Elephas maximus indicus: one gene and its partners. The protein of the gene in region 2 interacts with the protein of the main gene of each other region in a biochemical or structural test. Links are inferred from orthologs where the notes say so. Each region holds a gene or a part of one and is shown on either strand. Other genes may lie near its edges.

Region 1 (8,226 bases), on a different chromosome or scaffold from region 2:
GCACTCCCCCTTATAGCAGGTACAGATGAAAATAGAGTTCAGGTATATACCCTGTTATACTGTGCTAATGAGGGCCTATACTGTTGAAATGGCCCCACACAGGTCTATGGCCACACATAGGCCCCACAGAGGTGTGAAAGGCATTCTAAGTCCATGGACTTCTTATGTCTTTGTCTAGGCAAAATGGCTGTGCCTTCGCTGAGTTCCCATTAAGCCAAATATTATCAGTGGAGGCTTGCAGAGCCACCACTATCTACAGTGGTTGTATACCTTGTCTAGAGTCATCTGTTTACCAGGTGTCTGCTGGCAATAAGCCTTCCCCTCTCTTGGAATTGGGGGAGGAGACTCTGGTGGCACGCTAGCCTGTGCTGGGGAGTCATCTTGATATGTCACTGGACCAGTACAGCCTGTAACTCTTGGGCCAATGGACTGATGGAATGCACACTGCACTATTGCATGTATGCATGCCATTTGCTCAGCGTAGCTGTCTGGATGATAGATGATGACAGCTTGGAAAACAGCCTGTTGACCCACCCATTTAAGGGCAAAGTTGTGTGAAGGGTTATAGCTCCAACCCCTATTAACAGTTCCACCTGGTGGAGAGCATTATAGGCCACCGACAACTTTTTCTCCCCGGGACTGTTATCAATTTTCTGCCCTTCCCCATAGTTGGAACCAAAAACCTAGGAGGACTGTAGTTTCATCCTGATCTTGTTATAACACCCAGTCAACGCTGTTCTCGGTGCTGCTTAAGTCAACTGGAAGGGTAATCCTTCATGTATCGCACCTAGTGCTTTCACTTGTGCAACAACACCTTGCCTTCTAGAAAGCTTGCTGGTTCATTACCCCAATCCCAAGGGGGACCCTTTTTTACCAGTTGATAGAGTGGTCTCAAGCACTGGTCCAAGTGGGTAATAAATACTCTCCAATACCCCAAAAGACCCACAAAGGCCTGCACTTCTTTTGGTGTCGTGGAAGGGGGGGAAAATTTATATAGTATCATCTATGGTTTCCCTAGGAATTTTACCAATGTTTCTGGCCCCTGCACCTTTTGGGGATTCACGGCCCATCCTCTCCCCTGTAGGAGAGTGATTAAGATGTCTAGACAGTCCTGTAACAGAGAAACGTCTTCAGCAGTTAACATAACATCATCAGTGTAATGAAACCAACAAATGGTAGCAGGAGAGGGGAAAAAAGCCAGATTCCAAGCAACCAAATCATGGTATATAGTGGGACTATGTAAATACCATTGGGGTAGCACTCAGAACGTCCATTGCTGTCCCCCTCAGATGAAGGAAAACTGGTCCTGAGCAGATGGGGCAAGAAGGATGATAAAGAACACATTGGCCAGGTCTCTACTAAAAGTTTCCAAATAGGAAGTTACATTTGGGACTGCAGCATGTGTAGGAGGGATCGCCTTGTTCTCCATAGTACACAGTCATACTCAATGACCCATCTGACTTCTTCACAGACCATACAGTGCTGTTAAAACCACAGCTGGGCTTTCTGGGGGATTACCTACCCTTTTCAATTCCAAAACGATTTCACTGATTTCCTTACATCCTCCAGGCACCTTATATTGCCTGATGTCTACCACTCTTTGTGGTGGAGACAGGACTACTGGTTCCCATGCTGCTTTTCCCCTCAAGACTGCTTCTACCACCTTCACCTGCAGTCAGAATTCTCCCACAGATGTGATCAAACTTAGTCCCATGAGGACATCCACTCCTAGAATGTATTCTGGTATTGTGGAAACACAAACTTCATACAATTTGGGGGTAGTACATTCTACTTGTAGGGTCAGGAGTACCTGATGTATGCAGATGGACTTTCCACCATACCCATTGTCTTTATTATCTAGTGCTGCTATAACAGAGATACCACAAGTGGATGGCTTTAACAAAGTGAAGTTTATTTTCTCACAGGCAAGTAGGCTAAAGTTCAAATTCAGGGTGTCAGCTCCAGACAAAAGCTTTCTCTCTGTGTCAGCCTTCTCATCAATCTTCCCCTGGACTAGAAGCTTCTCTGCGCAGGAACTCCAAGTCCAAAGGACACGCTCTGCGCCTGGCACTGCTTTCTTGGTGGTATGAGGTCCCCCTGTCTCTTTGCTGGCTTCTCTCTTTTATATCTCAAAAGATTGACTCAAGACACAATCCAGTCTTGTAGATTGAGTCCTGCCTCACTAACACAACTGCCATCCATCCTCCCTCATTAACATCATAGAAACAGGATTTACAATATATAGAAAATTACACAATACCAAGAATCGTGGCCCAGCCAAATTGATAGACATTTTTTAGGGGACATAATTCAATCCATGACACCTGTCAATTGCCAAGGGGGGTCCTTGAACCTGTTCAGGGTTTCCAAAGATAGGGGTGCATTCTGCCCCTGTATTAACCAGAGCTAGCACCCCACTGCTTGTTTTGTGACCTCTACATGGGGCCTCTGGTCCCCCTGCAGGCCCCTGACCTGCAGGTTACCTCAGCCCCACCCGTAGACCTTAGGGATTGGCAGGATCTACCTGGTGGCAAGGGGCACTTCTTCACAGGGGAAAGTGAAACCCAGAGGGCAGTATTATTGCTCTGGCTTCAGATTCTTCCAAAGATTGACCAAAACTGCATCTGGTTGTTTATCTGTCTTTTCTACTGTGGTCCTGGCAGCCACTAAGTCCATCCATATCTGCTTCTGGGTTACTTCCAAAGGGCCCTTGGACAATTGTCTTAGAGGCTTTTCAGCTTTTCTTTTTTCTCTTCCCATAAGGAAGCAGGCAGTGGGATCCAGAGGGTGGTATAGTTGCTCTGGTTTCAGAGTCTTTCAAAGGTTGACCAAAACTGCATTCAGTTATCTTTTCCACTGCGGCCCTGGCAGCCACTAAGTCCTCCCATATCTGCTTTCGGGTTACTCTCAAGGTGCTCTTGGACAGTCACCTTACAGGGCTTTCAGCCTTTCTTTTCGCTCTTCCCACAGTGTGCAGCCCCTTCTCTCTAGCCCTGTCAGTTTCACCTAAGTTGGCTATGGCTTCTCCCACCGTAGACTGCCTGGCCCACTAGGGACGAACTATAGCCACCAGTGTTCTGTACCAGGCAGGCAGGGCTGGCTGTTGGATCTTTCCTATCATTCCCACAGTAAACAGTTCATTGTCTGGTCCCCAGAAGGGTTCGGCATAAATGGCACATACCTAGCTCCCATATTAGTTGCTGTAATCGACTGTACTAGGAAGATCTCCCCCATTTGCCCATGCCTTTCTACAACACAAGATGATCCAATTACAGAAAGTGTGTATGCCCTCTGTGTTCTGAGCTGCATGTAAACACTGTCGGTGGGCGGGGTCAGTGGTAATATAACCTGTTTTTTCTGCCTCAGCTGCCTTAAGAAACACTGTCTCCCCTGATATCCCACAGATATAATAACCAAGCTGCAATGGTTTCCTTTCCTTTGTGCTGGAATTCCACATACAATTCAATCAACTCAGTGAGGGTGTATTCCTGCATTGTCACAGAATTGCTGGGTAGAATTTCTTGTCTAGGGTCATCCCGCTTGCAGGTAGTTTTTATCTTATGGGAGGGGAAAGCCATGCTCCTCCTCTAATATCACCACCACCTGAGTCACTACCAGGCTTGTCATCCCAAGAATTTCATGTTTTCACTTCCCAGTCACCTTTCATCAACATTGCCCTGATCTTCACATTTGGCACTTTCCTTCCCCCCTCCCCCATCTTTACAAACCTGCAGGCAAGCATTTCTAGTTGCTCATCCTGTTCGTGGACACAGCTGCTCAATATGTTAGTCATGGCCACGTGCGACTGCCGCATATCCCTTTCCAACTGTTACTCTTCCTGCAAAGCTCCTATGTGTTCTTCACCAGCTAGCTGGGTGTCAGTGGCCAGCCGAAAGGGCCAGACCAGCGGCCACCCTATGGCCCCTACTGTTTTCCTAGCTTCCGTTCCACACTTACGAAGGCGTACATCTTCCTGCAACCAGGCTATGCCGCTTAGCATTTTCAGGGCATCCCTACACTCACCGGGAGGTCCACACACATCAAGCATACAGCCAAACCGTTCCACATGGAGGTTGTTGGCCAACCTGGGATTTCCCCCCCAGAGGCCTCACTCCCACTTGCCATTTCTTCAGTCTCTTGGCTGGCTCGCTAACTGTCCTGGCAGAGACCAACAACTTAAAACTTGTCTTCAAAAACGGAGGGTGCTTGCTGAGAGCGGCAGGCAACTCCAGAGTGCCAACAAAGGAGTTTCTTAGGGAGACTTACATGCGAGGAACGTCCTGGGCAGCAGCATGACTAAGCAGATCTCCTCGCCCCGTGGTGGGGGACAGGGCTTTTCTAGCGGTGGCGAACAATAGTGGCTACATGCCAGGGACGCCTCTAGACTTACATAAGACCGCCTCGGCAAGAATTACAGAAGAATGACTTAGCAAACGTTAGTGAACTAGCAGAAAGCAGGAGTGCGGCCTCGCAAAGCCTGTTTCCCCTTCAACATAAAAGATGGCAACGTTGCGGGTCCCGTGCCACAGCAGAAGCGAAAGTGAGAAAATCTAGTCCTAGGGCTTCTCAAACTCAACTCCACATTTACTCAGGCCCAGGATAACCCCTCAGGTCAGAATGAAAAACGCACGGGGTCGTGAGGCCCGCCACCTGACGGACTGCGCGGAAACACAGAAAAGAGGGGCGGCGCAAAAAGCAAGCGGCAAGGCAGGCGGAAGCGGCAGCTCCTTCGGCTTCTACCCCTTTTCCGGCCTCCTCCCGGCTCCACAGCGTCTGTGAGACACGACGGCGCGGCGCGTGGGGGTGGGAAGAAAAGAAAGAGGCGGGCAGGCGCGCGAGGCGGTGCCGCGGGGCGGGGCTTGGGCGCGTGCACGTGTGTGCGTGCGTGCGTGCGTGGGCGCGGCTCGCCGCACGCTGTGCGCGAGGCGGATGTCCGGGCCGGCTGCGCCGGGGCCGCGGATGAGATGGCGGAAGGCGGAGGCTGCCGTGAGCGACCGGATGCGGAGACCCAGAAATCCGAGCTAGGTGCCTTGATGAGGACCACGCTCCAACGGGGGGCGCAGTGGTAAGCTGTGGGCCCGCCCTTCTACGGAGCACAGCTGGGCGCAGGAGCCCCGGCATTCAGGCCCGGCCCCTTTCAGCTTGGGGAGGAGCCGGACGGGGGCGGTGTCTGGTGATCTTGAGAGGGTGGCCTGACCCCCGCCCCTTGGGAGAGGAACCCTGAGATCGGTACTGGGAGAGCGCGGCGGGACTGGAGCTCATACCGGCCCCTTCAGAGCCCTAGGGGGCGGATCCGCGGGGGCAAGGGCTGCAGGATGGGGAGGAAGTGGAGTGCTCACAGGGATCATGAGGGTGGGAAGAGCCCTGTGTCATCGAGGACTCCCCTTGTGACCCTGGGCGAAGACATTCGCTCTTTGTAGACATTGGTTCCTTACTAGTAAAAGCAGGGTAGCAATACTTGGCCCACAGCCCTCACTCAGTTGAGGCAAGGATCAGAAGTAGATACTCGTAACTTGCAAACTGCAGAACAGATGTCAGGGTCAGAAGCTGAACAAATGTCTGTGAGCTCTAGATTATTTTGATAACAAATGTCAGAAATAATTGTGGTAGCAGCATATTGGAGTGGGAGAGGAGGGTGGCCTGGAGCCTAGAGCTAGATAGAAGATTAGAAGTACAGAATTTAGAAGAACAAAGAAAGCTGAGACACGAGGTTTCTTAATAGATTGTTTAGTAGAAAAGGCATTACCTTCCAATAGTGGAGAGATTACTGGGTGGTATTGTGTGGGAGTAGAAAACAGGTTAGGGTTTGCAAAGAATAAGAATGAACTTCTGCCTTTAAGAAACCATGGTGGTGATGATAATGTCATTTATAGTGATAGAGGAATTGAGTTCAGAATAGAAATATTGAGGTTAAGAGGAGTTCAGATACAGCTTTACAGTGTTTATCTTGAGCTAGCCAAGTTTTAAAAGGCAGAGCAAGCAGAGGTACTTTGGAAGTTATCCTGTTTAGGGGTGATACATGAAAAAGAATACTCGGTGGAAGGAGAGGGAGTTTACGATAGACTAAAATCACACAAAAAGTTTGTGGAGGGTATTGCTTAAGGGGTTTGGAGAGAAAAGAACATTTAGAAGTTTGGATATATTTGTGGATCCTGTGGCCTCTGGGAAGCTGCCTGATCTTCTCTAAGGTTTGTTGGTTACAAAATTTGAAGAACTTATGAATATTTGTGTTTTGTTGCCCCACAGAGGTTTCTCCCTCCTTCTGTCTTAATCATAAAAGTGATACTTTAAAATATAACCAGGTTTGCTTACTTTTCTTAAGTATAAAAAACAATAAGTTAAATATGAAACACAGTTTCAGAATTTTTGATAAGATGAACACAGTAGACACTAACTTTATGTAAATGTGTATATATATACATGTTTGTTTACATGTGTATATGTGTACTAATTACACATATAAGTATAAATTGTATATATATGCATATGCGTACTATTTTAATGGGTATTAGAGGAAATTATTTGTTATAGTCTAGTCAGATATCATCAAGGAAGGAAGAAAAGGAGGTGCTTTCACACATTTTTAATATCTTGTTTGGTCCACTAAGGAAATCTGAAGTAGGTGGAACTATTATCCCATTTTCAGAAATGAAATCAATTTAATGCTGTTCACATTAAGCAAAGCAGTGCAGCCACAAACTGTCTGCCTGGATGAGGACCTCTGTAGAAATCGTATGGAATTAATGACCGGTTGATCGCAAACAGGATTCTACCCATAGAAAGACTTAATTTAAATAAACATTTTGAAGCCAATCATTTCCTCCCTTCCATTCATTCATTCTTTTAAACAGTCATTTCACTTAAGGGATACGTGCCCTGGGCCATGCCCTCAGTGCTGTGTAGAGCCTGGCCCTGCTTCTGCTCTTGAGTCTGTTTTTTAATGGGGGTTGTAAGTGACCCAAAAGGAAAGACCAGAAAAGAACGAGGGGATAGGCACAGAAACTTGTAATGCCAGCTTTTCTGCCACAGTAAGTTTTTGTCTGTCTCTAGGTATCTTATTGACAGCCGTTGGTTCAAGCAATGGAAGAAGTATGTGGGCTTTGACAGCTGGGACATGTACAATGTGGGTGAACACAACCTGTTTCCCGGCCCGATAGATAACTCCGGACTCTTTTCAGGTGTAGTATCCTATTGCTTTTTTAGGTAAAATGTCTACTTGGGCAGTGGCCCGAAGGTGTGTTTATCTGTAACATGGACTTTCCCAGCATGAGGAGATAGAAATAAGTATCTTCGATTTGTGTGTATATCAGAAGCCTGCAGACCCTCCGAGAGAAGTTGAACTGCTTTATTTCCCTAAATTAACTGCTTTTAACAAGAGCATGCTTTTAGCATTTTAAATTTCTCTCTCTCTCTCTCTCTTTTTTTTGATAAATTAGCTCTGCTAGAGATTTCAGCTTTTAGATTGGTATACGGGATAGAAAGAAATAGGATATCATTTTGAAATTGGACCTGGAATCTGAAACTTGGAAACCAGAGTTTTCTGTGTCACCTTTGCAGTTGAACAAATTGTAGACGGTCGATGTTTGTCAGGTATTCTTGTGATAACAGTGTTTGTCATAAAAGTAGAATGAAGAGAGGTGGAAGGTCGGTAGACAGAGTTGTGACCACAGTCAGCTCCCAGTGGGGACTATGGAAAAAATGATGCATGACACACCTAAAATTGGCTTGCACCTGTAGATGCACAAAGATGAGAGAGTCAGCCTTCCCAGGCTTTGCTCTGCCTGACTTCAGACTTGCTCACAGGCAGGACAGAGGTTATCTGTTACCTGTGCCCAGAATCAGGGCAACAGGAAGGCAGACCATGTATGAAGCTTGATCCAAGTACCTAACAGTAGCCTGGATATTTTTAAAAATGAGCAACACTGCAGCTCACACTTTGTCTTAGGGTTGGTCTAAATGACGTAATAAATCACTGCCATTTGGTTTGTTTCCTGATGGAGGCCAGAGGGTGGCACTATACCATGACATTGCCTTAGCAGTTAGGAAGCATTGCATTGTGTTTACTTTTTGCCCTTCACCTTGTTTTTTAGAAAAGGAGAGATTTTAAGGTTTTAAAACTAATGATGAGAATTCTCGAGCTGAAGGGACCCTCAGAGGGCATTTTGCATGGCCTTTAGCTAAGGGAGAGCATTCCTGTTGTGGTCCCCTGTTTTTATGTCACCTGCC
Region 2 (8,337 bases):
ACACTAGTTTAGGGCAATAAAATGAATGAGATAACCTGCAAAATTCCCAAATAGGCCTGTTTTCTGCTACATGATTAACTTATTTGGATACATCTTGTTATGAAAATTTCAAATGTTAAGAACTGTATAGTGAAAGCTATAAAGAACAGAAGTTCCTACACATACGCCCCCATCCATCTTCCTAAGAAACTACTGTAGAGGTAACCACTATTGATAAAAAAAAAAAAAAAAAAAACATTGCCATCAAGTCGATTCTGACTCATAGTTTCATTTATATATTGAATATACCATGGACTGCCAAAAGAATGAACCAATCTGTCTTACAAGAAGTACAACCAGAATGCTCCTTAGAAGCAAGAATGGTGAGACTACATCTCACATACTCTGTACATGTTATCAGGAGGGATTAGTCCCTGGAGAAGGACAGCATGCTTGGTAAAGTAGACGGTCAGCAAAAAAGATGGAGACCGTCAAGGAGACGGACTGACAGAGTGGGGCTCGAGCATAATAACAATTGTGAGGATGGTACAGGACCGGGCAGTGTTTCGTTCTGTTGTATATAGGGTCATTATGAATCGGAACTGACTCAATGGCACCTAACAACAACAACAACAGACTTTCTACCATGCATATATAAGTTGTATATGTATAATGAAATAGGATCCTACTCTACATGCTGTTTTTAAAATTTTATTTAATTTGAAAATAGTATTTTTTCTTTCCATATCTGTACATATAGAGCTAACGCATTATTTTAGTAGCTGCATAGATTTTTATTGCATTTGTTCATTCAATAAATATTTATTAAGTGGTTATGAAGGTATACACAGGTTAATAATGATTCAGACAATAAATATGTAAAGAAAACAAATTACAAATTGTGATATATGCTATGAAGGAAATGAACAAAAATAATCAAAGTATCTGGAATAGTCAGAGAAGGCCTAAGAGGTGAATTTTAATGTAAAGCCTGAAAAATGATAAGGATCCAGGTACTCCAAAAGCAGGATAGGAAAGTATTCCAGGCAGAAGAAATAGTGTTGCAAAAGTCCAGAGGTGGTAAAGAGTTTGGCTTATTCTAGAAACTGAAAAGAAGCCTGTGTGACTGGACCTTAACATGCCAGGGAGAGGCAGGCAGGAGCTGAGTATTTTTTCAACTCTAAACAAATAATTTCTTTTATAACAATTAGTACAAAGCTGGTAACTATGAGGTGGAGGTTAAAGATGTCCCAAATGTCCAACTTTTCCAAGCTGCTATACCACTCCATCATCTCTAACATCAACTACTCCCTCTCCCCTCAGTACTCTCCCTCCCATCTTTGGGGTCCCTAATTCACTGCAATGCCTCACAGAACTCCCCAACCATATAAAGGAAATGGCTCATGAAGTTGTGGAGGCTGGCAAGTCCCAAATTGTGGGTCAGGCATAGGCTTCTCCTGACCCACGTGGCTGCAGGAGCTGATGAACCCAAATTGGCAGTTCAGACCACAGGCTGTTGGCTCACAAGGTTGCAAAAGGTGGTGAATCATGTTGTACAATAGGCCGCTGGCCCAAGTGGCTGGGGAGGCCTTCGAATCCCAGAATTGGTAGGTCATACAGCAGGCTTCTGGGGAGGTCAGCTGATCACAAACTAGACAGGGGATCCAGATGCAGGGAGAAAGAGAGCCTCACAAGGACACACACATAGGTCTCAGATGCAGTCCACACCCCAGGAAAGGGTGTAACTTTAGTAAGGGTGGGACTTGAGTCACAAGATTGTGACCCAAGACACACCTTCCACCAACTCTGCCTTATTAACATGTAGAGGTCAGGATCCACAACACATAAAATGGAGGACAACCACACAATACCAGGAACCATGGCCCAGACAAGTCAACACATAACCCTAACCGTCACAGGTTCCATACACCTTATTTGCATAGTCCCATTCAATAATTGTGTGTGAGTCACAAAGGCCAAGGCTAGAAGGGCCATATTAAGTAATTCATTGCACCGTAAATTCCAGGCACAAAATGTCACAGAGTTTTAAGCAGGAGAGTGATATGATCATGCTGGAGACTTTAAAACATGATTTTGGCTGATATATGAAAAACTGACTCAAAGCAGTCAAGAGAAGTACTAGTCTACATATAATCCTCTGTTGATTGAGGACTTGATTCTACTTTCTGCCTGTTATAAACAATAGAAACAATCTTTGCCTTTTTCTCAACAAAAGTGAAGGATGTGCCTGTTTCCTTTCACTCCTGTCTCCTGTAACATAATTTTTTCAAGACAGATTATTCCATCGATTTATCTGCTTCTATTTGATCATTAGTATACTGAGCATCATTTCAGCAGCCCTGGTGTGCAATGGGTAAGTGCTCAGCTGCTAACTGAAAGGTCGGGTATTTGGGGTATTTGAATCCACCAGTTGCTACTCGGGACAAAGACCTAGCAATCTGCTCCTATAAAGGTTACAGCCTTGGAAACTCTATGGGGCAGTCCTACTCTATTCTATAGAGTTGCTATGAGTTGGAATTGACCGGATGGCAATGGGGTAGGTTTGGTTTTGTTGTTGTTGTTTTGGAGCATCATTTCATATGTAGAAATAACATCCTGATTTCTCACTTGGACAACTGAGTGGGTAACGGGATCCTTAACTGAGACAGGAAATGCATCGGAAGAACATATCTGTATTGGCGGATGGATTCTGAATTAGCTTTGCCATCTTGAAATTAAGGTGTTTGTTGCACCTAAATAAAAATATCCAACAGGTTCAGAATTCAGAAAAAAATCTGAGCTAGGTAATGAAAGTCATTACAAAAATGGTATGAGAAACCAAGACCCTGGGTAAGATCATCCAGAGAGTATATACACTGAGAAGAAATTATTTCTTCTTTCATCCTTTTATCCATTCACCAAACTATCATTAAGTGTCACTAGAACTACAAATTGGAAATGACAGAATGCTTTCTAGTTCATAGCTTCCTGATTGCTAAATCCAATCACCTATTTATAATCAGAAATGTGCTTAACTTACTTATTTGCTTACAACTAAGGCTCTGGTGGCACCTTGGTTAAGAGTTATGCCTGCTAATCAAAAGGGCAGCAGTTCGAATCCACCAGGCACTCCTTGGGAACTCTATGGGGTTGTTCTCTGTCCTATAGGGTCACTATGAGTTGGAATTGACTTGAAGGCAATGGGTTTGGTTTTTTTTTTTTTTTTACTTACAGCATTTATTTGGTTTACTACTCCTTAATTGAACAGCTCTCCTCCTATGCCATCCAGGTCACCACTCCAGTCATTTTGCTTTTTCAAACCATTCCTTTTCTGTTTCTGAGGCTTAGAATTTGACATTCACAGGGTTCCGTCTTGGTTTTTTTTTTTTAACACAGTGCTCCTAGGTGAAAGAAAAAAAGAAAAACCAAGCCCGTTGCCTTCATTCCGACTCATGGCTCGCCCACGTTACAGGGAAGAACAGTTCCATAAGGTTTTCTTGGCTGTAATCTTGACAGAACCATACCACCAGGCCTTTCTACTGCGGTACTACTGAGTGAGTTTGAACTGCCTGCGTTTAGTAGTTCAGCATAAACCATTTGTACCACCCAGGGGCATGTGGTCACATGAGCTGGAATTGACTCAATGGCAACAGTTGCTTATTTTTTTAATCACAGGAAAGCAGATCACTAGGCTTTTCTTCCCTGGCACTGCTGCGTGGGTTCCACGCACCAACCCTTTGGTTAATAGTCAAACACAGATTTATCCCACCCAGAGACCTGTTCCTAGGTAAGTTCATCCAAACCCACTGCTCCAACCACCATATATAATTATCATTTTTAAGTCTCTAACTCCAAAATTCCACACTTAGGCTTCAAGTCAAAGTAATAAAGTTTTAACAGCTTAGTTTAATATTTTTTGGTAACACAACGTAAAGTACGCTGGTGACACAGTAGTTAGGCACCTGGCTGCTGAAATGGTGGTGGTTCAAACTCACTAGCTGCATGGCAGTCTGCTTCCATAAAGATTTATAGCCTTGGAAATCCTATGGGGCAGTTCTAGTCTGTCCTATTAGGTCACTATGAGTTGGAATCCATTGGACAGCAATGGGTTTTAACCCAACATAGACAATGCTATTCGAGTTTTAGCACAACGTAGACAATACCATTTGCCTTAGAGACAGATTGCATAGGTTTTGGATCAGAAATTCTTTTAATCTCTCTGAATTTATTTTCTCATGTCCTGTAAATGATGAAAAAATATTTAACTTGTCATGGCCATTGTAACGATAAAATTATAAATATAATGAATCTAACATAGTGCTCTGCACTCGATAAATGCTATTAATACAATCTAAAACGCGAGATGAACATGTCAAATTATGCCAAATTATAAATATCTACCTTATCTAAATGTGTTAACTTTGTTATACCAATATGTCATCTTCTTTTCGTGAGCACTCAGCCTCCAGAGCGTTACTTATGTTGAATACGCTGACCAGCTCTGTACTATTAACTTCTTCAGACTCTCTCTTGGTATCAGGGACTGGTTTAAATAATAGCCAACCGCTCCCTCCACGTTGAGGAAAACACGTTTTGCGAGGCTTCTTAAAGATACAGTTTAGTTTAGCTTCGGTTTAAAACGAAAAGTGGGCTTTGTCGTAAAAACTCGGTCCTATACTGCTCTGCCCGTCTGCAGGCCGCTAAAAGAAGATGGAGTGGAGCCATGACGCAACTCACAAACAGTGGGAACCATAGTTTTTATCTTTCCCGCTGGTTCCTAAAAGACCAACGGCACTCATTGGCCATCAGGCTTGTGTCACTTCCGCTCGCGCATTTTAATTATGTCAGCGCATCAACTCTCGCGGTAACATCCGTCTCCTGAGCCTCTTTAGCAAAGATCTCGCGAAATTTGTTTTACAGGTTCAAGACAGGCTCTCACCCGCCCGCCCCCCGCCCCTGCGCCTTCACCCTACCCCAGCCTGCCCTTCCTTTCTCTTTCCCCGTCACGAAATTCTCCCCTCCCCTCCCACGAACCTGCTGCCCCCCTCCTGTTTCCGATTTTAGACCGGAACCGGAAGTCAGGTGGGCGGGGCCCGGCGGCGGAAAACGCAGCGGAGCCGGAGCCGGGACACGGCTGTGGCCGCTGTTCCTGCCCCCGCCACGGATCGCCGGCTGGCCGGGCTGTGCGGCTCCAGACTGAAGGTCGGTCCGGAGGCGGGTGGGCGCGGGTCTGCCCCGGAGTGTCTGGGTGGCAGACTCTCCGGGCCCCTCGGGCGCGGCGAGGGATCATGTCTACAGCCTCTGCCGCCTCCTCCTCCTCCTCGTCTTCGGCCGGTGAGATGATCGAAGCCCCCTCCCAGGTCCTCAATTTTGAAGAGATCGACTACAAGGAGATCGAGGTGGAAGAGGTGAGCGAGGCCCGGCACAGAGCGCCGTCTCCGGCTCGCCCCCGCTTCTGCCGGATCCTGGCTCTGAAGGCGCCTCCCCGGCGGGGTCGAGCCGAGATTCCCCACAACCCCTCGGAGACTGGGTGTGGGGGGACTCTTCGCGCTCAGCTGCTCTGAGGTAGCTCTCTTTTTTCCTCACTTCGACACTCGAGTTTGGATTTGATACTCCGGTGTCTGGATTTGGGTCACTTCAAATAGGAGGATGAGCTGGTGAGAAAGTGTGGTCCACCAGTTCTCATTTCTGTAAGTAGTAAATTCAGCAAAGACCGTGGCCGTTTCAATTCTCTACATGTTGTGTTTTTAAAGGCCAAGGATTATACTATATTCGATTTACAGCTCAGTGCCTGGCACATAGTGGGCGCTCAATAAATGCTTATTAAAGTAGTAGATGAAGTCAAAGTGTTTCCGCAGGTACCGAATGATTCTGTTTCGCTGATATCATAGAGCAGTACTCGTAATATTAAATGTTCTGCCTTCAGTTGGGTAATTTAGATGAATTCGCCATTAGTAATGTACGCTGGTCTGTTATAATGAAAAGATGTTTTAAGTAGCATGTTCTGGAGAGAGAACTCATGATCTCGGCGACAGCTAGAATATATCACCAGATTAGAAATTGCTGTTAGAAGACCTGAATCCATTCTGTATTCTTCAATAATTTAAGATATTTTAGAGCGAGATATTTTAGTGTGCCTTTAGTACGTTACTTCTGTTCACATTCATAGAGGGGCGATTGGTAATAAGGACTGTGAAATTTAGGAAAGTAAAAGTGTGTGTATATATTTTAAAGACACTTTAGAATGTGTTTTTAAAAACTGGTTGAAAATGGGATGTATCAAATAGTTACCATTTATTTATCCTTTTAAAAATGTAGTGATTTTATTTTTATTTTATTTTTTTTTATACTATAAAGAACTCAGCATGTCCTGTGGACATGTTATGAAATCTCAGCGTTATCTCTACTGTAAAAATCTAAAATTACTTTTAGGTTACAGCAAGCTAAAATTAGTGAGATAATTAATGTTCACCAAATAAATATATCTTTTCCCTATTCATGTTTTGGAAGAATAATGAATTACTAAATCATACATTTTTATTACTTGAAACAACCTAGAGATCATTAAGAACAACCTTCATTTTTTTTTTTTTTTACAAGGTAGCACAATGGGAAAAACAGGATCTTTTGACTTAAGAGGAAAGTTCAGTATGTGAGATGTGCCACGTTAGCTATGTGGTTTAGGGCACATTTCCTAACTAACCCCTTTGAACTTTAGTTTTCTTAACTGTAAAACAAGGATAATAATTTCTATTTAATTTTATCTGTATAACAGTCTTATTAGGCAGTGTATGTGAAACACCCAACACGAGGCCTGACACGTATTACTAGGAAACTGAGTTCCAGAGAGGAATAGTGACCTGCCTTAAGGTCACAGGGCTAAAAGAAGATCTGTGTTTTGAAAAGAGAGGAGAATTTTGTGTGTGTGCTTTTTTTTTTTTTTTTTCCGATTGAGGCTATGATAAATTCCTTTTCCAGAAGTGGATAGTTGATCCAGCTTTCATGGCTAACATTCTTTTTTAAGAATAAAAATTCAGTGAGTCAGTATACAAGAATTGCAGTTTTTAAATAAGCATTTACGTCTACTCTGTCTACTCTGCGGTAAATTGGCTATGCTTGTAGACTACAAATTGTTATGTAATAATAACTTGTACTTTATGGTCTACCAGATTCTTTCAGAGGCTTATTTTCATTTGATTTCGACAGCAAACTTAGTTTTTGCACATTACTTTGTAAAGCTTTTTGTCTTCTTGCTTTATGGAAGAAAGGAAGTTACTGAGACATTTTTCATTTTGCTGCTCTTCCCCCAAAGCCATTTCACTTCTGATTAGGTGTTTATGTTTCCAAAACCTTTCCTTCAATTTAGATAGTGCTTCAGCCTTCCTTTGGTGTATTTAGGATATCCTGGGGCGTAGACTTTTGCTTTTTGATAAAAAGTTCTTTCTAACATTAGGCGGTCGTTTAGTTTTGATTTTTTAATACCCAGTTTGTTTTCATATGAAAGATTGAATTAGGACCTTTCTTATGTTGAGGCCATTACATAAGTTCCATCATATTCTTCATTTGCACACATTAAAAGTGTTTGATATAATCCAGGGTGCACCTTAGGTGCTCAATAACTATTTCTGAATTTAGATTCCATTTCTAGATTAAAATCATTATAATAGAGGATGATCAGAAACAAAAAGTATTTTATTCCCATTTAAAGAAAATCATATCCTGTATTTCTCAGATAACAGTGTAATTGAATCAGCATTATATGACCAGAACTAGAAAGTACATAAAAAATAACTCGAACCATAGACCAGGTATGCAGCCATTTAGTAGATGCATATTTCTAAGGCATCAGCTAATTTTAATCCTTAGATTCCTAATGTTGTGACTCAGAAATTTCAGTTCGGCATTTCTTAAATGCAGTTCTGTTGTCACATTATGTACATTCTCAGCCTTAGAAATCTACCTTTTTTTAGTGATTTAGTTTTTATCATTCTGGATCTGGGTGTAGAAAATGTTAGAATAAATTGTGAGGGATGTACATTGTGGACCAGGTTGCAAGAAGTAAAGGCCGTGTGGTGTAGGGAAAAGTATTTTGGACTTGGTACTTAGAAAATTTAGGTGCTGTACTGATTCTGACACAGTATTTCTATAACATTGAGCAAGTCACCTCGTTTTCCTGGGCCTCTGATTTCTCATGTAAAAATTGAACAAGATCATTTAAGGTCTCTTCCAGTTCTAAAATGAAAATCCGATCATTGTTTCCAGTGTTGTGTGTTGTTTCCACAGTAAGCTTAGAAGTTCTTTGAGGACAATTATGATCTCCCATGGAATGTAGCTGGTGACCAATTAATCCTGGGCAGA
Region 3 (7,444 bases), on a different chromosome or scaffold from region 2:
AAGGTGTGTCTCTTGTAGGCAGCATATAGACAGATCGTGTTTCTTTATCCAGTCCGAGACTCTCTGTGTCTTTATTGGTGCATTTAGTCCATTTATATTCAGCGTAATTATAGATAAATAAGTGTTTAGTGTTGTCATTTTGACGCCTTTTTGTGTGTGTTGTTGCCAATTTCCTTTTTCCACATACTTTTTTGTGCTGAGATGTTTTTCTTAGTAAATTGTGAGATCCTCATTTTCGTAGTGTTTGACTTTATGTTTGTTGAGTCGTTACGTTTTTCTTGGTTTTTATCTTGAGTTATGGAGTTGTTATACCTCTTTGTGGTTACCTTAACATTTACCCCTATTTTTCTAAGTAAAAACCTAACTTGTATTGTTCTGTATCGCCTTGTATCACTCTCCATATGGCAGTTCTATGCCACCTGTATTTAGTCCCTCTTTTTGATTATTGTGATCTTTTACATATTGACTTCAATGATTCCCTGTTATGGGCATTTTTTTTTTAATTAATCTTAATTTGTTTTTGTGATTTCCCTATTTGAGTTGATATCAGGATGTTCTGTTTTGTGACCTTGTGTTGTGCTGGTATCTGATATTATTGTTTCTCTGACCAAACAATATCCTTTAGTATTTCTTGTAGCTTTCGTTTGGTTTTTGCAAATTCTCTAAACTTGTGTTTATCTGTAAATATCTTAATTTCGCCTTCATATTTCAGAGAGAGTTTTGCTGGATATATGATCCTTGGCTGGCAGTTTTTCTCCTTCAGTGTTCTGTATATGTCGTCCCATTCCCTTCTTGCCTGCATGGTTTCTGCTGAGTAGTCTGAACTTATTCTTATTGATTCTCCCTTGAAGGAGACCTTTCTTTTCTCCCTGGCTGCTTTTAAAATTTTCTCTTTATCTTTGGTTTTGGCAAGTTTAATGATAATATGTCTTGGAGTTTTTCTTTTTGGATCAATCTTAAATGGGGTTCGATGAGCATCTTGGATAGATATCCTTTCGTCTTTCATGATGTCAGGGAAGTTTTCCGTCAGCAGATCTTCAACTATTTTCTCTGTGTTTTCTGTCCTCCCTCCCTGTTCTGGGACTCTAATTACACGCAAGTTATCCTTCTTGATAGAGTTCCACATGATTCTTAGGGTTTCTTCATTTTTTTTAATTCTTTTATCTGATTTTTTTTCAGCTATGTTGGTGTTAATTCCCTGGTCCTCCAGATTTCCCACTCTGCATTCTAATTGCTCGAGTCTGCTCCTCTGACTTCCTATTGCGTTGTCTAATTCTGTAATTTTATTGTTAATCTTTTGGATTTCTACATGCTGTCTCTCTATGGATTCTTGCAACTTATTAATTTTTCCACTATGTTCTTGAATAATCTTTTTGAGTTCTTCAACAGTTTTATCAGTGTGTTCCTTGGCTTTTTCTGCAGTTTGCCTTATTTCTTTTCTGATGTCTTGAAGCATTCTGTAAATTGGTTTTTTATATTCTGTATCTGATAATTCCAGGATTGTATCTTCATTTGGGAAAGATTTTGATTCTTTTGTTTGGGGGGTTGTAGAAGCTGTCATGGTGTGCTTCTTTATGTGGTTTGATATCGATTGCTGTCTCTGAGCCATCACTGGGAAACTTGTTTTTCCAGAAAATCTGCTGACTGGGACGCTGGCTCCAGGCTCCGAAAACAGTCGCTGCTTCCCCGTATTTGTTCGTTTTCTGTCTCTAAATCTGTGTTTGTTGTTCAGGGTTCGTAGATTGTTATGTATGTGATCGATTCACTTGTTTTTCCGAGTCTTTGTTGCAAGAGGGATCTGAGGTAGCGTCTACCTAGTCCGCCATCTTGACCCTGCCTCCTGCAGTAGTGTTTTGTTGTTTTGTTTGTATAGGCCTTTTATATCCCTGGTTAGATCTATTCCTAAGTATTTTATTTTTTTAGGGGCTGTTATAAATGGTATTGCTTTCCTGATTTCCTTTTCGTAGTTCTCTTTGTGTATAGGAATCCAACTGATTTTTGTATGTTTATCATGTATCCTGCTACTCTGCTAAATCTTTTTATTAGTTCCAGTAGTTTTATTGTATAGTACCATATCATCCACAGATAGGAGTACTTTTACTTCTTCCTTACCAATTTGGATGCTGTTTATTTGTTTTTCTTGCCTTATTGTTTTAGCTAGGACTTCGACTTCCAGCACAATGTTGAATAGGAATGGTGGTAAAGGGCAACCTTGTCTTGTTGCATGGAGCCGTGGTGGTGCAGTGGTTAAGAGCTTAGCTGCTAACCGAAAGGTAGGGCAGTTTGAATCCACCAGCCACTCCTTGAAAACTCTATGGGGCAGCTCTACTCTGTTCTATAGGGTCACTATGAGTTGGAATTGGCTCAATGGCAATGGGTTTGGTTTTTGGTTTTGTTTTGTTTTGTTCCTGATCTAGGGGAAATGTTTTCAGCCTCTCCCCATTAAGCATGGTGTTGGTTGTTGGTTTTGTATAGATGCCCCAAAATTATTATTTCTGAAACCTCTCTCTGTATTGATATTTGTGTCTCCCGCTTCACGTTTCAAGACCTGGTGGCATAGTGGTTAAGCATTTGGCTGCTACCCAAAAGGTCAGTGGTTCAAACCCACCAGTAGCTAAGTGGGAGAAAGATGTGACAGTCTGCTTCCTTAAAGATTTACAGCCTTGGAAATCCTACAGAACAGTTCTACTCTGTTCTAGAGGGTTGTTATGAGTTGGAATGGACTCCATGGCAATGAGGTTCTTAATATTTGTTTCATTCTCCATCTTTCAACCCGATCTTAATTTTACTAATTATTTGGCACGTCAGCTCACTGGGAGTTCTCAAAATCCATGTCTTTGCTCATACTATTCCTTGACTCAGAAATGATCATGGCTTCATGCCCTCACCTTCCAGCAAACCTAAGTTTATTTTCCTGGAGAAGTTTCTTACTCTCTGTATTGACATGGTTGGTTCCATGCCCAGCCTTTACCCCTCCCCATCCATCCTTCCTCATTGTATTCCAGTTTTCCTTCTTGTACCAACCATTCAGCCATGCAATTCCAAACACTAAGGGAAATGCTGACTCATCTCCAGTTGCAGGGTAGGGATGATTGAGGAAAGGGAAATTCCAGTAGGATGCTATGCACTGGCTGATTAAATATTTTACCACTTGTGATGGTTAAGGCTGTGTGTCAACTTGGCTGGGCCATAATTCTCAGTGGTTTGGCAGTTATGATGTGGTTGGGCAGCTATGTAATCATGTAATCACCTCCATAATGAGATCTGATATAATGTAATCACCTCCATGATGAGATCTGTTATGAGCAGCCAGTCAGTTGAAAGAGAGTTTCCTTGAGGGTGTGGCCTACATCCAATATAGGTGGACTTTCTGGCAAAGCTTGTGGGCTCACTCTGGATCCTGCAGCTGACCCCTGTTCATCTGACCTTGGTTCTTGGGACTTGAGCTAGCAGCTTACCTGCCACTCTCAGGATTCTTCGGCTTCCCCCATCTGTGAGCCAGAAGCCTGTTGTCTGACCTTCTGATCTTAAGTTCACCAGCCCCTGCAGCTATGTGAGACAGGAGAAGCCTCCAGCCTGGCCCATAGATTTGAGACTTTCCAGCCTCTACACCCTCTTGAACCAACACCTTCTTGAGCCATTTCCCCTCCTCTTGTCTCTCTCTACATACATACGACTTATACATATATGTGCGTGTGTGAGTATATATATATATATATATATATATATATATATATATATATATATATACTTCACTGGTTTTGCTTCTCTAGAGACCCAGCCTAAGACACCACTGTCAGAAGGATAGATAAAGACATGGATTCAGAAAGCGCTAGCTAAGCTAGTGTGCCAGATAATTAGTGGCACCTGGACCAAAGACAGATTCCTAGATGCTGCAAATGGTTTGTGTTCAGCTGCTAACCTAAAGGTTGATGGTTTGAATCCACCCAGTAGTACAGAATAAAGACTTGAAGATCTGCTCTCATAAAGATTACAGCCAAGGAAACCGTATGGGGTGGTTCTATTCTGACACACATGGAATCACCATGAATTCGAATCTACTCAACATCAGTGGGTTTTTCTGTTTTGGTTTTTTTTTTTTTTTTTTTTTTAACCAAAGACAGCATGAGCTTAAAGAAGGAAATGTTGGCATATAAAATGGTTAAGGGACATTGGGACAAGATTTTGAAATAATTGAATGAACAAGGAGGGTTCCTATAAAACTACACAAAGGCTTAACCGTTGTACCACCAAGGCTCCTTAAACTATTATTACATGGAGTTTTTCCATAAAACATCAGTAAAAAACATTTTGGGCTAAAGCTTATGTGTATATGTGTGTATGTTTTCTTTAGGTTACGTGTGTTTTATTTATGAATAAAGGATGGCTCCTCCAATGATACGTGGTTTTGCCCGAACTTGGAGCAAAGGGACTGGGATGACCAACCTGAAAGAAGCATTAATTCAAATGGTGGAAGGAGAGAAAGAAAGTAGACTGGTGGTCATTTTCAACTCTGGAAGAAGTACAAGAGTTTTCCAGCTAAGTAATAATACTACAAGTATGGTCCTTAGGCACTCCAGAGAAGAACAAAGTAGCCTGCATTTAACTTTCCCAAAAAATTGCTCCTTGTTCATTGACAAATTATCCTGTGGAGATGCTGAGAAGTTGAAGAAGTTTCTGGACAGAGTCCACCAAAAGACATCTCAACTACCCATGAAACCTCGCTGTGAATGGGTTATTCTTGGTGGTGGGAAAACACAGGAGAAAAGCAACAAAATCCCCTTTCATAAAGTTGGTGACAAGCCAAGTATTGAATCCTTTAGTCTAGAAAATGGAAGTGGAACATCTGTCCTTCAAGAAACGCCTTTGTTAATGTCCAAATCATCAACACTTGTCAGGACAGGGTTATTAGAAAATCCATGTGGCAAGAGGAAAAGAATGCCATCATCTGATGTAAAAATGCATGAGGACTTTCTGAAAGAAAATAACCCTGTGCTAAACAAGAAATCCAAGACAGATCCCTTGAAGTGCATCAGCAACAATAGGAAGGAACCACTGAGTTTAGAAAATCTAGAAAAGTGTAATAAATCAGAACTTGGACCTTTATTCAATGCCAGCTCTACTGGAAACCCTAACCTAGATGGGAATAGTTTTTCAACCCACCATCTCTCTGTTGAAAGAAGCTTGGCATTTCCCTCAGAACCAAATTGTAGCCAGAATGAACCAGGACAGAAAGAATCTCAGATGCCCTCTAACTCTCACCTACAGCAAAAACGGCAGGGCTTCCCCAATTTGGGAAATACCTGTTATATGAATGCAATTTTACAGTCGCTATTTGCAATTCCCTCATTTGCTGATGACTTACTTAACCAAGGAATCCCCTGGGAGAAAATTCCCTTAGATGCTCTTATCATGTGCTTCAGTCAACTGCTTGTTTTGAAAGATCTTTGTGACATAGAGATCAAGGGAGAGTTACTTGTGAATATTAAAAACTCCATTTCCTCAGTTGCAGCCATATTCTCTGACAACATGCAGAATGATGCTCATGAGTTTTTAAGCCAGTGTTTAGATCAGATGAAAGAAGACATGGAAAAACTAAATGCTTATATGACAGAGAGGGAAACTGGTGAAGAAATTTCCCACCCACAGATTTCTGCGGCTAATGCTTCCACTAAAGTGTTTGTTTGTCCAGTGGTCACGAATTTTGCCTTTGAGTTACAGTGCTCCATCATCTGTAAAGCCTGTGGTGAGGTTGTTTGCAAGACAGAACTAAGCAATTATCTCTCCATCAACCTTTCTGAAGCAAAGCAATCACTCCCTTCATCCATTCAATATTCTTTTGATCTTTTTTTTAAAGCAGAAGAAATTGAGTATAAGTGTGAGAAGTGCAAGCACAAGTGTTCTGTTGCAATGCACAAATTCACTAGGCTACCCAGGGTCCTTATTGTTCATCTGAAGCGCTATATCTTTAATGATTGTCGGGTTTTGGTGAAGGATAATCAGCAAGTTGGTATTCCTATATATTTAAGCTTATCCCCCCATTGCGATGAAAACACCAAACCACCTCTTCCCTTTAGCAGTAATGCACATATTGAGGACTCTCAAGTTCTTAAAGTCTCTCAAGAAATGATTTCTGGGACCACTAGCTCATGGATGTCTCCAATGACGTCGACCTCCACATCCAAGGATTTCCTGGTTCCACACATTGAACCAGACAAGGACACTGAACCACAAAAATGCCAGAGACTTTCTGAAGGATCAAGCCAAGAACAGCAGCAGAGAGACCCAGAAAATGACTCCAAACTAAATATAACAGAGTCCGAATTGGTCAACTCAAGAGATAGGACAGCCAGTGAGAAGGAATGGCCAGCAGCTGACTCAATGATTTATTGGGAAGACACCTCTCTTTCAGTGATCTGTGAACTTGGTGGTAAATTCACCAGCAGCCCAGTTGCAGGTCTTGTACAGGCTCATCATCAAGAGGTGCCTGAAAGCCCAGAACCTAAGACACACCAGACAACAAATGCATCTGTAAAGATAGAGTCTAACAGCATCACTCAGTCTACGGAAGATTTTTATGAGAATAAAGAAAACAGGAGTCCAGAAGAATCTCAAGGAGTGGTTAAGCAGCTCCAGCAGTGTGATGGGAAAAGAATCTATGAGAAAGTCCTTCAACAGGCACTGCCACAAAACCTCAGGAAGCCTGACGCCCAGGAACACACAGAGGAGGACCTCAGTAGATCTACAGAGTTAAGCCTGCTGAAGGATAGCCTGAATTCCCTCAGAGCATTGGGTTCTGGTGAGAACCCTGGAAACAAAGGCGTCTTAGGTATGGAGAACACAGAAGCTGAGGCTGAGGAACAGAAAAGAAATACCACAATATGGGATCCTCATCATGCCTACAGGCTCATCAGTGTCGTCAGCCATCTTGGGGACTCCCCAAACTCAGGTCACTATGTTAGCGATGTCTACGACTTTGCAAAGCAGGCCTGGTTCATGTACGATGATCTCAAGGCCTTGCAGATCCAAGAGGCCAATATGCAGAATGACAGGAGTTGCAACGGGTACATCTTCTTCTACATGCACACTGACATCTTTGAGGAGCTACTTAGAAAGGCAGAGACTTCCCAGTCACAGAGCACAGAGTCACTGGCGATGTTCCTTCATGGGGAACAAGAATAAGATTTCTCTTTGCATAGACTTTTTTGAGGACCTCACTCACGACCACTTGCTCCGTGAAAGGAAATTGCTGAACTCTCCCCAGAGATGGAGAAACAAGTAGCTCAGGATGAAAGCTCAAACAGACACATTTTGTTTGGGGAAACATTTGTTCTAACCCTGCTGCAGGCACCTCAGTCCCACAGCTCGGGCTGGCAAATGTCCTTCTCTCCTACAAGACTAGAATGATGATTTTCATGCTCTAATGCAGTGCTTTTGAAATGTT
Region 4 (7,443 bases), on a different chromosome or scaffold from region 2:
TCTGCTTACTTGCCAGGACTACTCCATTTCCAGCTCCCCCCACAAACCGAACTGGCTGCTCCCTTGGCCTGGAACTCACTTCTTATCTTCTCTATCTGGCTAACTTCTACCAATCCCTCAGGTCTCAGGTCAATTGTCACCTCCTTAGGGAACCCTTCGCTGGCCTCACTTCCCAGAATAAGGTCTCAATGCACTGTGTCCCTTTCCCTTGCCACACTTACCACAGCTGTGAGTTTACATTTATAATTAGTTGAACAATATCTCTTCCTTTTCCAAAAAGATCTGTTTAGAGCCCCGATGCTATTCATAGCACTCAATAAATAGTTGTAGGCTAAGGGGATGCTTCTGAGCACCTATAACATGTATAATGGGATAAAAGGTGTTATGGGTCAACTGAAAGCAGTCCAAAGCCAGACACAGCCCTGGCTGACCAGGAACTTAGGAACCTGACAAGACACACTGCTACACACAGACAAAATGGCAGCATATGAGGTATGCCAACTGAGTGAAGCTGAAGGAATTCAACAGAAAAACGAATTCCCATGGAATGAAGCAGCCTGTGATGGGTTTACGGAGGAGGTGGCCTAGAGCTGGTGCCGGAGGGACGGACGGGCAGAATTTATGTCAAGGCGTTGAGAAGGATGCTTGTCCCAGAGAAAGGACTCAGCCAACCAACCTGTCAGGAGCCAAGAGGGAGGAGAGGCTAGAAAGACAGGGTGGGACCTGACTGTGGAGGAGCCTCAAACGACAGGATGAAGAGTTCGGCTTTGTAAAAATAAAAAACAAATTAAGGTTTTTGAGCAGGGGATGGGAGTAATTCTAGAAAACTGTGCCAAAGTGGTTAAGCGCTACAACTGCTAACCAAAAGGTCAGCAGTTCAAATCCACCAGGTGCTCCTTGGAAACTCTATGGGGCGGTTCTACTCTGTCCTTTAGGGTTGCTATGAGTCAGAAGGGACTCAGCGGCAATGTGTTTTGTTTTTGTTTTTTTTTTTTGGTTTTTAATCCATACACAGGGGTCTGGTGGCACAGTGGTTGAGAGCTCAGCTAGTAACCAAAAGGTCGGCAGTTCGAACCCATCAGCTGCTCCTTGGAAGCCCTATGGGGCAGTGCTACTCTGTCTTTTAGGGTTGCTATGAGTCGGAATCAACTCGATGGCCAACGGGTTTGGTTTTTTTTGGTTTAATCCATACATACGGGAACACGTTCTTAGGCCCATATTGATAAAGCTGGAAACAAATTCTACCTTGCAATATCCTGACTTTCCAAGTCTAGAGAGCATACAGAAGTCATTCTGAGCTAGAGATGACAGAATTCGAGAATTCTGTGGGGCTGCAGAATGATCAAAGCCCTGGTGGAGCAGTGGTTAAGAGCTTACCTGCTAACCAAAGATCTGCAGTTCAAAGCTACCTGCAGCTCCTTGGAAACCCTACTGGGCAGTTCTACTCTGTCCTGTAGAGTCACTATGAGTTGGCATTGACTCTACGGCCATGGGTCTTTTTTTTCTGCTTTGGTAGAGTGATCAGGTTCTTCTGTTTTTTACTGCTAGGCCCCTGGCTATACTCTGACCAGGACAAATTTGAGCCAGTTGTATTTCTCAGGCATCCTCAGCCATAGGGTTTGTTGGAACCCTAGTTCCCACATTGGGAGAGAGAATATTACCACCTGCAAAACTGTACTCTGCCCTCCAGCTCCAGCTCTGACATCCCTCCAGGGGTTGCTCTGCCCATTCAGAGCTGATGGGATTCAGGCAGGGCCTGGAATGTCTATCAACTAAGTGATAAAGAAGGGTGGCCGTCTGAAGTAAACGCCTGACATGGCTGGCCAGCAGCCTCAACGCCCCACTCTGCTCGCTGCAGCCAGGTTCCTGGGAAGAGATGAGCAATTTCCCATCCCTTAAGTCCAGAAATGGAGCCCTGGTGGTGCAGTGGTCAAGAGCTACGGCTGCTAACCAAAACGTCAGCAGTTCGAATCCACCAGCTGCTCCTTGGAAACCCTATGGGGTAGTTCTACTCTGTCCTATAAGGTCACCATATGTTGGAATTGACTCAACAACAATAGGTTTCGTTTTCTGGTATAAATAACTTAAAATACATATAATTGAGGCTGAGAGCTTAAACTTTTTTATTATTTATTAAGGCCAATAAAATTTGGAAACTACTAACCTAGAGTTGGTGCCCTGATGGTGCACTGGTTAAGAGCTTGGCCGCTAGCCAAAAGGTTGGCAGTTGGAATCCACCAGCTGCTCCTTGGAAAACCCATGGGACAGTTCTGTTCTGTCCCACGGGGTCGCTATGAGTCAGAACTGACTCAATGGCAACAGGTTTGAACCTAGAGTCAGCTTAGCAGTCCTGATGCCTCCTTCCTATCCCCCTTCTCACTCTCTCCCAAGAAGCTCAGGGCAAAAAGTGTAACCCACTCACCTACCCCGAACAACGTGGGGCAGAAATCTGCAAGTGCCCTGAGACAGTAAAGGTGAACCCGACACCCGCTCTTCCAGCCCTCTGCCCACCCCTGCCTCTTCCAGGCTGCACAGAGCCCTACCTGATTGTGCCATCGGATGACGTTTCCAAATGCCCCTGTCCCAAGTCGTTCCTTCATTTCCCAGGGCCCACATGTCTGAGTTGCCAGGGAAGGTGACCAGCTCATATTGATGTTGCGCTAACTCTGTAAGTAATTCGGGGTGAAGGACAAAAAAAGTTAAGAAAAAACGGGGCAAGTTCCTGCTCAGGGAGATGGAGAAGGCAGGGCATAAGTTTTGCCCTTCAATACGACAGGAAAAAAAAAAAAAAAAAACTGAACTGGTTTTTATCTTGTAAATAAACCAGGTTTTTTTTGTTTGTTTGTAGTTTTAGGTAGTAAACTTCTGTCTTTCTCACCCGCCCTCCAGTTGTTGTGGAAGGAAGTAGAGAGGAAAGTCACTCAACTGAGGTGATGCCCCACACCCCATGACCTCTAGAGGGGATCCCCTTCCGTGCCCGCATTCTCCCGAAAGCAGCAGGGAGGGGATCTAGCTCTGCGCGCCACCACGGTCACGTGCGCCTCTACAAGGTCCCAGAGAATCACGGTTCTCTCTCAATGCCACCCACCTCTAAGCAACCACCTGGAACCCCTCTGGCCAAGGCTGTTCTCCCGGGCCTCCCAACTCCAACCCGCTAAAGGGAAACACTTCCATGTCGGCAAACACCTGATTTTTAAACTCGACGAAAGTTTCTACGGCAGCCTCTAGTGAGGAGATGGAGAGCCCGACCGGGGCAAGGAAGACGCGGGGTCCGCAGGTGGGCACCGCAAGGCTTCCGCTCCCTCCGGCCCGCGGGACTCACCTGTCGGCAGGGACGCCTGGCAGGGGAAAGGCTCCCCGGGCCGGGGAGATGGGGGCTGGGGCAGCACAACCGGGGGCTCTGACACCACCCCGAAGACATTAAAATGCGGGAATCCTAACCCAGCCAGCAGAGAGCGACTTCCTCAAACACTTCCTGCTCTGACGTCACCGCGGCACGTGGGCCTGCGACCGGCTCTTAAAGGGGCCGCCGCAGAGCAAGCCCGGGTCACTCCCAGTGCCCACCGGCGGCCGCGCGGAGCTTGGGTCCCCCCCGCGACCCCTGCCCGGGTGACTGCCCCGTCCCCCCAGAAAGAAAAATCCAATCCAGTAGTGTAGTGCTAAACTAAAGTTCCAGTCTCAGTGATGTGGGGAGTCTCAACTCTGAGGCTCATCTCCTACCTGCTTGGCATTATCATGAGGTCCTCTACTAGTGAGTTTCTCAGTCCTAATCTTAGTAGACAAAGAAGTTTTTTGTATGTTGGTGTATTTTACTCAAGAGAGAAAAGAGATTAAAGGACCCTGATAATAGTTTATAGAGTGCTTACTAAGTGCCAGGCACAGTCCTAAACTCTTAGATTTCCTCTTTTAATCCTCACCGCAACCCTATAAATTAGATAATAGCTGTGTTACTATTGTCACCATTTTACAGAGCAGGAAACTGATGCACAGAGAGGAAAAGTTTTTATCCCAAAGTCATAGGGCTAGTAAATAAATGATTTGAGATTCAAACCCAAGCAGCTGGTTCCTGGGCCCAAACCAGTTGCCTACGAGTGGATTCCGATCGTATAGGACAGAGTAGAAGTGCTCCATAGAGTTTCCAAGGAGTGGCTGGTGGATTCGGACTGCAGACCTTTTTGGTGAGCAGCCATAGCTCACTGTAGCTCTTAACCACTGAGCCACCAGGGCTCCTTCCTGGGCCCATGCTCTTAATATTTGGTTAAAAGTAGCGTGCTAAGAGGCTCAGAAGGAGGCAAACTAGATTTTGAATCCAGATACTGCTACCGACTACCTCTAAAACTTTAGTGCAAGTTACTTAATTGCTCTAAGCCTCAGTTTTCTCTTTAAAATGGAGGCAATATTAGGTTGAATTGCATGAGATTGCCTTTAAAAAAAAATGCACATTTAGAACTGTCGTTTTGTTGAAACATTAACAACGATCAAAGATCAGCAACCTCATTTAGTTCGGCTTAATAGCAGCAGGAGGACACAGAGTCACAGGAGGAGATGCCAGCAGGGTTGTGGAGAAGAACAGATGAACTCATGGTGAAAGCAGTGCCTGGCACAGAGGACATGCCTGTCACCTAAACAGAGCCAGCAGGTTGATCTTAACTCTTAGGAACAGGTGTCCACCCAAACAACCAACAACTACTTGAGCAAATAGTTGTAGAGCGCTTGTTATTGTTGTTAGTTGCCCTCCAGTCAGCTCCAACTCACGGTGACCTTATGTATAACACAACCAAATGTCACCATCTTCACGATCACTGGTATATTTGAGTTCATTGTTGCAGTTATTGTGCATTTTGAGTGCCTTCCAACTGTTACAAATGAAAGCTTCCACAATATTAAATTTGCGTACAAACTCACAAGCTTTATTTTTCAGTTCATGAAAATTGGGTCTGCAAGTCTGACAAGCGCTCTGAAGAGCAGGACAAAGCAAAAGGGTTATTTTGTCACAGACACACAGGAACAAGGAAGACACACTAGGCAAATTTTGAATTGGCTGGCAGGCATTTTCTTTCTTTATTTGGGATAAAGGGGCAATTTTGAACTAGATTAAACTCAGCAGGCAAGTCCTAATTGGCTAGCTTAGGTTTTAGTTTCAGATTTTGGCTCCTGGTAAGACAGGGAGCAAAGGCCCTGAGATCGGAGGGTGCCCGTTTGAGAAATAGCGAAGGGACTGGGGTGGTTAAAGGAGAAGCAAGTAAAAGAGAAATAGACTATACTATCAGGGAGGTAATGGGTTGAATGTGGAACCTAGAGACTTAGTAAGGCAGAGAATGGAGGGGCCCCCAAATGTGGAAACAAAGTAACAAGAAATGGGCCAGGGCACAGAAACAAAGCCATTCCCCAGAACAATGGGAGAGGGTATCAAAAAATAGCTTGCAAACTTCTTTAAAATTGCCTTTCAGAAGCAGCTGGGAAAACCAGGCCCAGGGACATGCGCAGAACATCCACCTGTGACTGCTGTGTGACCTTCCACCAGGGGCAGAGAGGGGCTACAGCCCCAGCCGGGGAATTGAACCCAGGGAGCGAGAGACTGAGCAGGCACGACACCCCACAAATCCCAGAGGGCTCTGAGACAGGAGCCGTCTTGGAAAGCTGCTGTGTGCGCACCTTCGTTAACATGTCCCCGCCTGTGTCTGTGAATAAACATGAATCTTTTCCCGCCCAAGAACTTTTAAAAACTCAGGCCCGTCTTTAAGAGGGTAGCGTTGCTCTAGGCCCTCCATATCACCGCTTGCAAACCTCTTCAATAAAGCTTTGCTCATGCGGAAAACTCTACGTGCCTTACCTGCTCGTTCTTGACCAGTAAGAGGCAAGAACCTTATTCCGGTAACACTGAGAAGGTCAAGCATTTACAGGAGTAGAAACTGGCTAGGTTTTGGTTTGCTAATGTGGGGCTAGCGTAAGTAACTCCATCTTGGGCCCACTACAGTAAGGTTAACGCTACGTAGGGGGTCATCTTCCAGTACTATGTTAACAATATTCCATTGTGATCATAGTGTTTTCATTGGCTAAATTTTGAAGTAGTTCACCAGGCCTTTCTTCCTAGTCTGTCTTAGTGTAGAAGCTCTGCTAAAACTGGTCCACCATGGGTGACCCTGCTGGTATTTGAAATACCAGGGGCGTTGCTTCCACCATCACAGCAACAAGTAGGCCACCACAATATGACAACCTGAGAGATGGGTGGTGGTGTAAAGCACCTTCTATAAAGCTCTTAAAAAAAAGAAAAAAAAAACCTGTTGTAATAAAGTCAATTCTGACTTATGGCAACCCCGTGTGTTTCATAGTAGAACTGTGCTCCGTAGCGTTTTCGGTGGCTATAATCTTATGCATGTAGATTCCCAGGACCTTCTTCCATGGTGCTGCTGGGTGGATTAGAACCACCAACCTTTTAGTTAATAGCCAAGCTCAAGCCATTTGTGCCACCCAGGTAAAGCCCTTAGTGCCTTGCATATTCCAAAAACAATATAGGTACTTGTATAATAAATAAATGAAATGTATGCGCTCAAAATATTTCATTTATTTATTATACAAGTACCTATATTGTATTTAGAATATGTGAGGCACTAAGAATATGCACGGCACTACCGGAAACCCTGGTGACATAGTAGTTAAGAGCTAAGCTGCTAACTAAAAGGCCAGCAGTTCGAATCCACCAGGTGCTGCCTGGAAACCCTAAGGGGCAGTTCTACCCTGTCCTATAGGGTTGCTATGAATTGGAATAGACTGGACAGCAATGGGTTTGGTTTTTTGGTTTGTATGTGCTGGGCCCTATGTAGAGTCTGTTTTTTCCCATATGATGCCATGAAAGGTTTCTCTTTAATTCTGTCACTACTGAAAAATCACTGTCCATGAGAAACTTAGGGAGGCATCGTTGATATGCCAAAGGTTTCCTCACTGTACAACTTTAAGAGTTCTCATTTTGTTCAGCTCAAAATAACTTAGTTTTCAACCGAACATAAATCTCTCTGATGAGGTCAGATGCAGTACTAGATTTTTAAAAAGAAAGGGTGATGGCTCAGGAAGGGGCCTCTGGGTTTTATCATGTCCCAAGATATTTATCATGTTAAACGCTCTTTTCCCTCCAGATAAGACATGTCCACGTCACTGCCTACATCTGCTAGCAATCCTGCTCTGGAGGATATGAGCGGACTGTTTCAAAAGATATTTTCAGCTGCAGCAGAAAAACATTCCTTTTTATTCCTGCTTTGAGGCTGTGTGCTATTGAGCAGTGACTATAGGGTAGGGTCCCTATGAGTTGGAATCCACTTGATGCCAACAGGTTTTGGTTTTTTGGTTTTTTAAAGGGCAGGGCCACCACACATCACAACTGGACCAATGAGCAACATCTTGATAAACAGAAAAAATATTGAAATTGCTAAGGGTTTCATTTTACTT

What was found.
Region 1: of the proteins of MAP3K7 (region 2) and USP4, one has a biochemical effect on the other in vitro, tested with the Homo sapiens proteins (2 studies listed by BioGRID). The link is inferred for Elephas maximus indicus from reciprocal best matches to the Homo sapiens genes MAP3K7 and USP4.
Region 3: the proteins of MAP3K7 (region 2) and USP29 form a complex in vitro, tested with the Homo sapiens proteins (2 studies listed by BioGRID). The link is inferred for Elephas maximus indicus from reciprocal best matches to the Homo sapiens genes MAP3K7 and USP29.
Region 4: of the proteins of MAP3K7 (region 2) and IKBKB, one has a biochemical effect on the other in vitro, tested with the Homo sapiens proteins (5 studies listed by BioGRID). The link is inferred for Elephas maximus indicus from reciprocal best matches to the Homo sapiens genes MAP3K7 and IKBKB.

What each region holds. Positions count from the first base shown.
Region 1 is NC_064838.1:53,785,596-53,793,821, reverse strand, and holds the start of USP4 (ubiquitin carboxyl-terminal hydrolase 4), read left to right. Parts: upstream 1-4,901; 5' UTR 4,902-4,964; coding exon 4,965-5,065; intron 5,066-5,093; exon of another isoform or gene 5,094-6,188; intron 6,189-7,050; coding exon 7,051-7,178; intron 7,179-8,226.
Region 2 is NC_064819.1:154,409,721-154,418,057, reverse strand, and holds the start of MAP3K7 (mitogen-activated protein kinase kinase kinase 7), read left to right. Parts: upstream 1-5,050; 5' UTR 5,051-5,267; coding exon 5,268-5,387; exon of another isoform or gene 5,388-5,669; intron 5,670-8,337. UniProt on the Homo sapiens protein: Serine/threonine kinase which acts as an essential component of the MAP kinase signal transduction pathway. Plays an important role in the cascades of cellular responses evoked by changes in the environment.
Region 3 is NC_064829.1:89,425,660-89,433,103, reverse strand, and holds USP29 (ubiquitin carboxyl-terminal hydrolase 29), read left to right. Parts: upstream 1-4,383; coding exon 4,384-7,182; downstream 7,183-7,444.
Region 4 is NC_064840.1:58,150,165-58,157,607, forward strand, and holds the start of IKBKB (inhibitor of nuclear factor kappa-B kinase subunit beta), read right to left. Parts: upstream 3,481-7,443; 5' UTR 3,323-3,480; intron 2,667-3,322; 5' UTR 2,649-2,666; coding exon 2,544-2,648; intron 1-2,543.